3 linked regions of the Rattus norvegicus genome follow. The protein of the gene in region 1 interacts with the protein of each later gene in a pairwise test. Links are inferred from orthologs where the notes say so. Each region holds a gene or a part of one and is shown on either strand. Other genes may lie near its edges. The genes, in order: Zbtb9, Pin4 and Eif4e2.

Region 1 (3,751 bases):
CCTCACCATGTGTGGGTTCAACCCTGAGATCCTCTAAGTGGGGGAAATGCCACCCTGGGAGCGCTGTAGGCCAGCTGCCACCTCTTGAGTTCCTGGGTCACATCTGTCATTGTGATTAGTGGTAGTGAAAGACAAGGTGAAGGCCTCTGAGGGAGGACCCTCTGCGATGGGCTTTCAGAGTAACCTGTGAAATGCTCAGTTTGCTAAAGTGCTCGAGTACTATTTATCCCCCTCAAGATAGGGTCTCGCCGAGCGCAGCCCTGGCTGGCCTTGAACTTGAAGAGATCCACCTGCCTCTGCCTCCCATGTGCTGTGATTAAATGTGTGCAGGACACTTGCTTCATGTTCAAGTACTTTTTTTTTTTAATGTATGAATGCTCTGTCTGCATGTACGCCTGCAGGCCAGAAGAGGGCGTCAGATCCCATTACAGATGGTTGTGAGCCACCATGCGGCTACTGGGATTTGAACTCAGGACCTCTGGAAGAGCAGTCAGTGCCCGAGCCACCTCTCCAGTCATTTTTAAAAGGATATTTGGGAAAGGTGTCTCCTGGTGAGAAAAGAAAAGTACAACTTTAAAAAGCTTCTGGAAAGAAATGACAGAAAGTACAGAGTCGGGATACCGTTGACAGTGAGGCAGAGGCCGCTCAGAGCTGAGTCTGACAATTACTTGAGCTCTGAATCAAATGTTTTCCTAGTTGGAGACCAGCTCCCTCACCTCCTCATGAAGATGAGGATAGAGTTACTGGGTCATTTTGCTCCATCTCTTCTCTTGCTAATATAACCTGAGGTCAGCAGTTCCTTCACTGGCTATCAATACAAAAAGGGCCATTCCGGTTGAGTGATCAGAAGCATGACCTTCCTACAGGACTTCCAAATATACCAGGGTGAGGCCCATCCCCAAGAGTAAGGGGTTCACAACATGACATATATAATCTCTTGGAAGGACCACACGATCCAGGACTGAGGTGGTGGAAGGTAAGTCCGTCAGCAGCAGTGGCTATCTTGTCCTAGAAATCACTACAGAGCATCGGTAGTCATTTGTAAGTCCAGTGGTAAGTGGGCCAGCCCTGGCCCTTGCATAAGTCCCGGTGTCGAAGGAAGAAAGCCTGGACCCGGAACCGGCGGCCACAATGGGGACACGCGTGCAGAGCTCTGGCGTGGGTCTTCATGTGCTCTGTCAGATGATGCTTCAGCTTGAAGCGTTTATTACAGATGCCGCAGCCGAAGGGACGAAGGCTGAAGGTCAACATGATGTGTCGGTCTCGTTTCGGCTTGACTGCAAACCGTTTTCCACACAAGCAAGCAAAGCACTTTCCATCTGCAGGGGGTGTCCCTCCTAGCTTCACAGGCCCGTGCATAGCCTGCCCTGTTCCTCCGGGTCCTCCGCCCCCTGACAAGATTTCATTCCCATGGAGATCCACTGGTTTCCAGGATGGGTCTCCTGCCCCAGACGTCTCCCCTCCTCCTGAGGACAGCAAGTATCTTAGCTCCCCATTTTCCTCAGAGTTCTCTCCAGGCAGTACTTTGGTCTTTTCCTTTGCTCCTCCAGACAGAGTCCTGCCTCCTGATGTCTCCTCCTTACACTCGACGTTTTCCTGGTTAACGTATAAGATTTGGGAAGTTTGTACGGGAGGGGCAGGAGGATCAAGTGTTGAGTTCTCATCCTCTGAAGGTTTGCTGGGAAGAGTCGATGTAGGCAACGGGTGGGATCCGCAAGCCTGGGAAACCGCTCCTGACACTCTCTCAGGCTGAGGGGTCTGAAAGGGTGGGGCTGCTGACCTCTGCTCCTCTTCCTCCTCTACTTTGACCTGAATCTGTAACATTCCTTCTAGTTCACCCCCCTCCCCTCCACTGGGGCTCTCAGGGGCAGCAGAATTCTCTGTGGAAGCGGAGGACCGCCCTGGGTTCTGGAAAGGGGAAGAGCGAATGCACCAGCCTCCTGCAGATGTTGTGGAAAGAAGTGTGAGGCTGGAGGCTCCTCCACCAGATGAAATTCCACTGGACGTTTCTAGCTCTCGAAGAATCTCTGAGCACCGATCTACTACCTGCCACATCTGAAGGCCACTGGCCACGAGGAGATGGGCAGGAAGAGCATCCAATGGCAGGTGGAGGCTTCCTGAATAGATGAGCTGAAGCAGTCCCTCGAACGCATCTGCCTCGATGACATTCGGTAAAGTGAGTCGGGGCGCATCCCCCAATAGCAGCTTGTCATGGAAGTAAGGAGAGGCAGCAGCCAACACTGCTTTGTGAGCCCTCAGTTCCCTGCCCTGAACCAGGAGGGATACATCACAGAACTTTCCCTCCAGCCTATGGCGGTTCAGGGATTCCAGCAGCGAAGAGCTATGATGAGGGAAATCAATGTGGATTGTCTGTGGGGCTGGGTTACACCTCGGAGAAGAGGGTGCGGGAGGCAAAGGAGTCGAAGCATCCATGGCTACCTCGGAGGGAGAAATAAAACCCGTGGATGAAGACTGCAGAGGAAAGAGACTAGGGTCACACAAGTTCGGGGTATGAGACCTGCCTCAAGCCGCTCCCCACCGACACTTGAAAACTCTTCAGTGACAAGTTTCTGTGTATTAGTTCCGCCCACCAAGAAACCCAGCAAAACACTAACCAGGGTTTTCACTTCCAGGCCCAGCGGAAGCCAAGTAGGGAAGGGATGGCGCCCCGCCTCGCTGGCTCAGTCGCCCTCCGCCGCCGCTCGCCCCTCCTCACCTTGCTCGGACAGGCCGGCTCCGCGAGCTCCGGCCCCACGACTTCCCACCGACACGCCCCCACCGCACGCACGACCGCGTCGGAGCTCCTCGCATCCACTGCGCCTGGCCGGCCGGAAGCTGCCGCAGTTCCGCCGGACGCCACTGCAGCCAGGCGCGGAGGGCCGGACCTGGTTTGCAGCCAATGGGAGAGCGGCGGCCTACAAGACCTCTCCTCATTGGCTGGTCAGTCGGAGGGGCGGGGCTTTGGGCGGGCGGGCTGCTGGAGCGGCGGCGAATGTTTTCCGGGATGAGCGGCCGATGAGGAGGGTGGTTCTGCGGGTTCTGGGGTGAGGGGAGTGACTGGCTCCGCAGCGCGGTGTGTGTATCCCCCCGACTCTTGCCGCGCGAGGTAGGAGATGCGGCTGTCCTCCGCGTGCACGTGGGGCAGCCAGGTCAGAAGTCTGGAGCGCACACATGCTGAGCACCCCGGGTTCTTTCCTCCATTTCGCAGACAAGCGTCCTCACAATTAAACCCTATGTCGAGAGGGTTTTGCACTTGGAGTCTTTCGGGCGTTAAAAGCCGGTTCCCAGCCTCAGCGCCTTTGGGTCGAGTGTCCGGCGGGTAGAGAACGGGGGTAGGAGTTTCACCAGAAAGGCCCTGCCGTATATAGTTTTCCTGACTCGAGCAGTGTGTAGTGGAAGAAGACATGATTTTGTTTTACTTTTTCTCCCCCAAAGTAGTCCCTGTCAGCCTTCAGGTGGTTCTGGAGACCCCAGGCTAAAAAATCAGCCCCCCCCCCCGCGACAGACGCTTTTTTAGTCCCAGGAGGCAGAGGCAGGCGGATCTTGCTAGTTCAAGGCCACCCTGGTCTACAGAGTGAGTTCCAAGACAGCCCAGAACCACACAGAGACCCTGTCTTGAAAAACCAAAAATAAAAGTCAGCCCAGCGATAAAAGAACAATCTCCGTTTATTAAACATGATTTTTCTGTTTCACCACACACTCCAGAAAAAAAAAGGGAAATGGACCCGGGAGTGGGAGAAAAGAGGGGGTG
Region 2 (3,751 bases), on another chromosome or scaffold:
AATTATTTGGGGACTATCTCCCACCCATGGTCAAAGTAACAAATTTGTGAACATGTGCATCTGGAGGGCAGGAGATAATTCCCTTCTAACGTGCCATCCCCCTTTTTTTATTTTGAGATAAGGTCTTTCACTGGATTAAAACTCACCAATTAGACTTAGGTCCTTTCTCAAGCACTTTACTGACTGAGCTAAAACCCTAGTCCACAAGTTAACACATTTAAAAGAACAGTGCTAGAAGTTTGAAAATTCTACCCTTTGAAAGCTAAGACTGGATTTTGGTTTCTAGTTTTATATCCTTCCTTTTTCTGTGCACGCGCATCCACTCGCACGCACACACATGCACACAGACACACATACACACATACATGCACACACACACATGCACACACACACATACACACACCTCAATTCTTTACATAGAAAAAAGTTAACACATGAGATAACTCACCTTTACTGCATTGCCACCACCTTTAGGACCCTGAGACTTCTTGTCAGCACTATCGCTCCCAGAGGCTGCACCTCCTTTAGAAAAGAGAGGATACAAACTCATTTCAACTGTACTTTGACATTTATAGATAGGTCTAACTCATAACACAAGGTAATCCATCCATTACAGTCCCAAGTTCCAAAAGGCTACATGGTGAGTCATGCAATCAAGTTAACTTACTCTATGACTCATCTCTAATAACAGGAAATGTACCCTACAAAATACTTTGCAGAAAATAAAGAAATGAGTGTGGGCATGGATGAAGGAGCTCCAGAAGCCTGGTCCAGATTCTTCAGACCCCATTCCAAATCTACCATTATATAAAATCACATAATTTTTATTATGTTCTGTGACTGTGTGTGACACTTGAAACTCTAACATTCAAAATCTCCAAGAATTTTAAGGGGTTTGGTTGTATCTCAGGGGTAGAGTGCTTGCTAATGAATATATATATACATATATATCATATTAAAATATTTATCATTATATTAAAATTGTATATATGTATATATGTATATATATAAATGTGTGTATATGTCTATGTGTGTATATATGTATATATGTGTGTATACACACACACACACACATATATGTGTATATATATATATATATATAATTTCCCCCTGCAGTCTACCACAATGGCTACCGATATCCTCCTAGAGTTTGTGACATTCAGGTTATCAAGCATTGGTAGCACATCTTACTACTCTTAAGTTTTGTGTCAAAGGCAGTATATTAAATGCTAGAAGCCAAGGTGTCTAAGACTAAGTATTTAGCTTAACAATTGTTTCCTCAATAATTCCCAAGTTCCAGTTCTTCAGGTATAAGGTGAATAGGATTCATAGCTACAGCCAAGAGCTCACATCCCAGTGAGGAAGACAGATCACTTTCTGAGAATCCAACAAGTGAAAAGTTGTGGAAGGGACACGTATTTTAGCTAAACAGGCAATATTTGATTGATGAACAGGAGCTGACCAGCTAAAGGACAATGTACTCCTGGTGACCTCAAACTCACATCCTCCTCAGTCTACCATTGCTGAGGCATGGCTTTGTGGTGTCTCACCCATTCTTATACTTTAAAACATCTTGGTTCCTTGGGCCTCTGGGGCATCATTCTACTACACTCCCTTTATTTGTCTCTTCTCTGGGTTCCTACAACCACGACCTTTCTTCAGGCTATTTTTTACCAGAACTACTGAAATGCTCTCTAAAGTACCTCCTGGCCTGTGACCGACCTTAACATCATGTACAGCACACCCTATGATTTAGTCTTCTTCTGCTTTAATACCTTCCTCTTGCTGGCTTATTTGTCTTGAACTTTTACTTCAGTAATGCTAGATTATACAAACTGCTTCTGGGGCTGGACACTCCGGGTCAAGTATGTTTTATCCTATTGCTGCTGCTTATTTCAGCAGTATCTCCAGTTTGATTCTTTACCCTCTTTCCACCTTCTATAATATACCTCCTAGAACTACATTCAGCACAGTACTATCTTCCCCACTTCGTCCAGGAACGACTAAGAGTTGTCTTACTTTTCTAGCCTGAAAACACAGCCATGTGCCCTACACCTGTCTTCAAAAAGTGACTCCCTCCTAAGGGAAAGGGGTATGTCATAATACTAGTTGTTAATAATGCTGGCGTTTCATCAGATTCAATTTTAGTGGTAATAAACCCTTAAAAGAGCAGTTCCAGGTCGCGAGGAACCATCCCTAGTAGCTTCTATCCCGCCACGATGGTCCCTGCACTGAAACCTCATGGGTACCCTGAATCACAGCACTTTTCTGACTTACTAAAAGAACCCCGAACATAAATCGTAGCGGCTCACGGTGCTCTTGGTTACCTTGTTGGCCAACTTATAACACCACCCCCCCCGCGGCCCCCCCCCCCCACAGCTGCCGGCCTACCCCTGCCCTTTTCCTCACCCTGCCGGCCTACCCCTGCCCTTCTCCTCATTCACCCCTAAGCTCTCTGACTGTCTCGGCCGGTCTACCTTTCCCTCCTTTTCCAGAACCACTTTTCCCCTTCGGCGGCATCTCTTAAGCTTGCCGTTGAACTCTCCGGCAGTTGTTCCGGTGCTAGAAAAAGGCCCCTTCAGGCCCCATAGATATGTCCAAAGCAATGCCTGAAAGCAGCTTCACAATCAACTATTTCTGCTGCGGTTCCGGAATCAGGCATAACTTGGGACAGACCCAGTTCATTGGTTCTTTGACCTATAGGAACTAAAGATGTTTGACCAATAAGAAGCCGAAGCCCTAAGGAGAGGCGGGAACAAAGGTTGCCCAGAGACAAAAAAGCCCCGCCTCTGTTCTGTTCCTCAAGGCTTTCACTTGCCCTCATATGCACCCGTTCTATGCTCTCTTTCACCCCCGCCCACTTTTTGTGCATGCGCAGTGCTAGCCTCAGGCCACTGCAGTTCCTTGGCGTGGGTTTTTGCTAATACCTTGGGGATGCTAGACAAAGGGATAGCAGAAGGACCTTAGATAATGGCCTTCTTCTCCTGTCCTTTCACGGACTGACACAGAACTGCACTCCCTAGTGGCTTTTCTTATTTATTTATTTAGCCATTTATTTATATTTTCACAGCAGTAGTTGATGGGGTATAAAAGATGGAATTTTTTTAAGCCTATCATCCCATTGCCTGTGGCAGAAGTCTGTCATGGAGAAACATTGGAAGCAGCCTAAATTAATTTTAAAATAATGATTATAAACTGTGTATACAGAAATAGCCTTAGGGAAGATTATAGACCAAGGTGTAGAATGTGATTTTTAAAGTTATATATCCTGTAGTACATAGTATATACACTTAAAAGATAAGCCATTAATAATGTTCAGCAGCATAGCATGTGACCACTGGTGTCCATCTATATAGTCATTCATGTCTCTTTATTTTCCAAAATTCTTTTCTTTTTTTCTTCCCTTCCTCCCTCCTTACCTCTCTCTTTTCCTTCCTTTTTTCTTTCAATACAGGGTTTCTCTGTGTGTATCCCTGACTGTCCTTGAACTCGCAGAGATTTGCCTACCTCTGTCTCCCAGCTGCTGGGGCTAAAGACATGTGCTACCACCTCCAGCCTCAAACTTTGTATGACAGCACATATCATGCAATTTAAAGGTTGGATTCTGGAAGCACATGGCCTGCTTTAAAACCCGTTCTATTAGTCCTGTGACCTTGAAGAAGCTCTTGGGCTCAGTTTCCATCTTCTGGGAAATGGAGTTGGTAAAGTATCTGCTTATAGAGTATCAGACAATCAATTTCAGAGTCGACAG
Region 3 (3,407 bases), on another chromosome or scaffold:
TAGACCTCATACTGGCTCGGAACTTGTGATTCTTTTGCCTCAGCTTTCTGGAGCCTTAAACCACATTCCTGGCACTAGGATACTGCTCTTGCAGAGGACCAGTTGAGTTCAGTTCCCAGCACCATGTCAGGTAGCTCACCACTCCCTATAATGGAAGCTCCCAGGAATCTGATATCTTCTGGCCTTGTGGGCATGTGCATGGACAAGGATACACACACATAAATAAAAATAAAATAAATCCTTTTTTTTTTTTTTTTTTTTTTTTGGTTCTTTTTTTTCGGAGCTGGGGACCGAACATTAAAATAATAAGACATCTTTCAAAGTTTAATGGTTGTTTTTCTCTCTCTCTCTCTCTCTCTCTCTCTCTCTGTCTCTGTCTCTGTCTCTGTCTCTGTGTGTGTGTCCCATGCACACACGCACACACACAAGTATAAATGCCCAGAGTTCAGAGGTGTCATATCCCCCTGGAGCTGGGGTTGCAGGTAGTTGTAAGTTGCTTGATGTGGGTGCTGAAAATTGAAAAGTATGTGCTTTTAGCCACTGAGCTGTTTCTTTTATCTCTATTTTGGCTTGAGTACAGATTTGTATATTTTGCCTAAAATATAGGCAAAAGTTTAGATTACTGCTCACTGTATATGTTACAGCCACTTAATATTCCAAATTACTACATGTACAGGTAGGCCCAGCAGTTTCAGAGATGAGGTGTTGAATTAAAATCCCATAGATAGCATTAGTTTCTGGTTTTGAACTATATAAGAACATGTTGTGTTCTGTAAGGCAGCTGGAGAGAACAACTTTTTTTTACCTGATAGGAGTCAGTTTCTCTTGCTATCTAGATTTAATAGGCCTCAATATTTGACAACACCTGTTTCCTACTGCACAGTCCTGCTGAGTATTGACACGGTATTGACAGTTACTGGTAGTTATTCCTGCCTCATGTCTTCTTTTCCTAAAGTGCCTCCTTCCTGCCAGGGCCTACAGGTATCTTCTGTAGATCACAGAGACCAGGATGAGTGTGAGTGAGTTTGGGGTTGTTGGTGTTGTTGTTGCTGTTATTAATGTTTTTAATTTGTGTGTGCACATGTGGTATATGTAGTGTGTGCATACCTGCTGAATGTCTGCAGAGGCCAGAAGAGGATATTAGATGCCCTGATGTTGTAGTTGCAGGCAGTTGTGAGCCACCTATTGTGCGTGCTGGGAACTGAAAGAGCAGCAAGCCCTTTCAACCACTGAACGGTCTGGATTTCCAGCCTCTGGGTGGGTTGTTCAGTTGGTTGGTTTTTTGTTGTTGTTGTTGTTGTTGTTGTTGTTTTTGTTTTTGTTTTCGATGTAGGTAGGGTATCACTATGTAACCCCATCTGGGTGATCCATGTTCCCTAGATCCTGAATACTGGAATATAAGTGTATAAACATACTTGAAAGAAAACTATAAACCTAGTTTTCCTGTTTAAGGTATATACAGAAGAGACATAATCTTTCCAGCTGAGAGGAGGAAAGAAACCATAACCCTAGCTCATACACTGTCTAAACAAAAGAAAAAAATTAGATTTGACTCTGTGAGTATATGCAGGTGAGGCCTTGTCTCCTGACATACCTCAGTATGAAAGAAAGGTTTTCAGTTGTGCAGAGAGCTGGTGCTGTTACTATTCCGTGAGAGGCCAGGCTTGTCAGTGTGGCCTCCTTTTCCACCTCAAAGCTGCTGACGGACCCCAGCAGTTTTCACCAACTTTTTTTTTAGATTGTAAATATTCTATCTGTATTAGTGTATATCTGCACCACGTGTGTACAGTGTGCAAATCTGAAGAGGGTATTGGATTCCCTAGAACTGTTTGCTAACCACACATGGTTATGAGCTGCCATGCCAGTGCTAAGAAATGAACCTGGGTCCTCTGGAAGGTAAGCCAGAGCACTTGATCCTGAGCCAGCTCTCCAGCTGGGTTTATCCTTGGATTGAAAGTATTAGGTGTTTTTGTTCTTATTTTGTCTTGTTTTTCTTTGATTAAACTGTACAAGCCAGGCATGGTAGTACATGCTTACAATCCTAGCACTTGGGAGGTGGAGGCAGGAGGTAGGTCAGTTGAAGACCAGCCTGAGCTACAAGAGACCTTGTCTCAAACCAAATAAAAAACCTATATGATGGTCTTCTTTCTACCCTGCTCCAAATGAAAATGTGTCCCCAAAGAGGGTACCCAAGGCAGGATGTCTCCCATGTTTCTGTTCTCAGTAATACAACTGTGTGTGCGTTCAAAGAAGAGATAAAGTCCTTGTACTCTTGGCTCTTCTTTCTACAGGTGGAACAGTTCTGGAAGTTTTACAGCCACATGGTCCGTCCCGGGGACCTGACAGGCCACAGTGACTTTCATCTCTTTAAAGAAGGAATCAAACCTATGTGGGAGGTAAGGACTGGCATCTCTAGCTGCTTTCAGGAGCAGACTTTTTCTTTACTTATTTTAATTTTAAGTTCTGCCAAGGTTAGAAGAGTTTTGAAATTTTCTCTCAAAGCTGTAACACGATTTGCTAAGTCTTGGGAGCCTGCACCTCTAGGAACAGTCATTGATGCAGTCGTACATGTTCTTGGCTTATGGCTTTGAAGATGGTCCTCTCTTAAGGCAACTAGTATAAGAGAAGGTTTAATTGGGGCTGGCTTAACAGTTTCAGAGGTTTAGTTCATTATCATCATGGCAGGAAGCATGGTGGCGTTCGGGGAGGTGGGAATTTGTTGAGTGTCCCGATTCATAGGCAGCAGATGAGACTCTGGGCTTTTAAACCTCAGAATACACCCCAGTCAGCTCTTGCCCTAATAAGACCTTACCTCTTAATCCCTCTAATTCTTTCAAATAGTGCTACTTCATTGACTATGAATTCAAATATATGAGCCTATAGGGACCATTCTTATTCAAGCCATCATAGGTACTGTCATTCAAATGGTGCTGTTAAAGTAGTAAAAACTTTTATAAAATGTCATTGTTCCCTCAGAACACATCTATGTGCATATGTATGTGCAATGCATTTGCTAAGTATACAGAGGATTAAAGTGGCTGGAAAAAAACTTTAGAAGGGGGGGGGGCTGGAGAGGTGGCTCAGCGGTTAAGAGCACTGACTGCTCTTCCAGAGGTCCTGAGTTCAAATCCCAGCAACCACATGGTGGCTCACAGCCATCTGTAATGAGATGTGATGCCCTCTTCTGGTGTGTCTGAAGTGTACTCATATACATAAAAATAAATAAATCTTTAAAAAAAAAAAAAAAAACTTTAGAACGGGAAACTGGAAGAGAGCTCTGTGATCTCTTTGAAGAACTGTCACTTGGCTTCTACTCCACGGCCAGAGCATTTTTCTAAGGAAAAAAAATAAATGTTGAGAAAATGTGGAAAGTCCTCTCTTCCTTCTGGCTCAGTGAGACATGTTCC

Evidence for each region.
Region 2: the proteins of Zbtb9 (region 1) and Pin4 interact in binary tests that used the Homo sapiens proteins (3 or more experiments, as listed by UniProt). The two-hybrid records come from large-scale screens. The link is inferred for Rattus norvegicus from reciprocal best matches to the Homo sapiens genes ZBTB9 and PIN4.
Region 3: the proteins of Zbtb9 (region 1) and Eif4e2 interact in binary tests that used the Homo sapiens proteins (3 or more experiments, as listed by UniProt). The two-hybrid records come from large-scale screens. The link is inferred for Rattus norvegicus from reciprocal best matches to the Homo sapiens genes ZBTB9 and EIF4E2.

The regions. Positions count from the first base shown.
Region 1 is NC_086038.1:5,058,417-5,062,167, reverse strand, and holds the start of Zbtb9 (zinc finger and BTB domain-containing protein 9), read right to left. Parts: upstream 2,853-3,751; 5' UTR 2,717-2,852; exon of another isoform or gene 2,616-2,716; intron 2,473-2,615; 5' UTR 2,434-2,472; coding exon 1,036-2,433; 3' UTR 1-1,035. UniProt on the Homo sapiens protein: May be involved in transcriptional regulation.
Region 2 is NC_086039.1:71,270,856-71,274,606, reverse strand, and holds the start of Pin4 (peptidyl-prolyl cis-trans isomerase NIMA-interacting 4), read right to left. Parts: upstream 2,574-3,751; 5' UTR 2,521-2,573; coding exon 2,478-2,520; coding exon of another isoform or gene 2,445-2,477; intron 523-2,444; coding exon 449-522; intron 1-448.
Region 3 is NC_086027.1:95,344,268-95,347,674, forward strand, and holds part of Eif4e2 (eukaryotic translation initiation factor 4E type 2), read left to right. Parts: intron 1-2,291; coding exon 2,292-2,396; intron 2,397-3,407. UniProt on the Homo sapiens protein: Recognizes and binds the 7-methylguanosine-containing mRNA cap during an early step in the initiation. Acts as a repressor of translation initiation.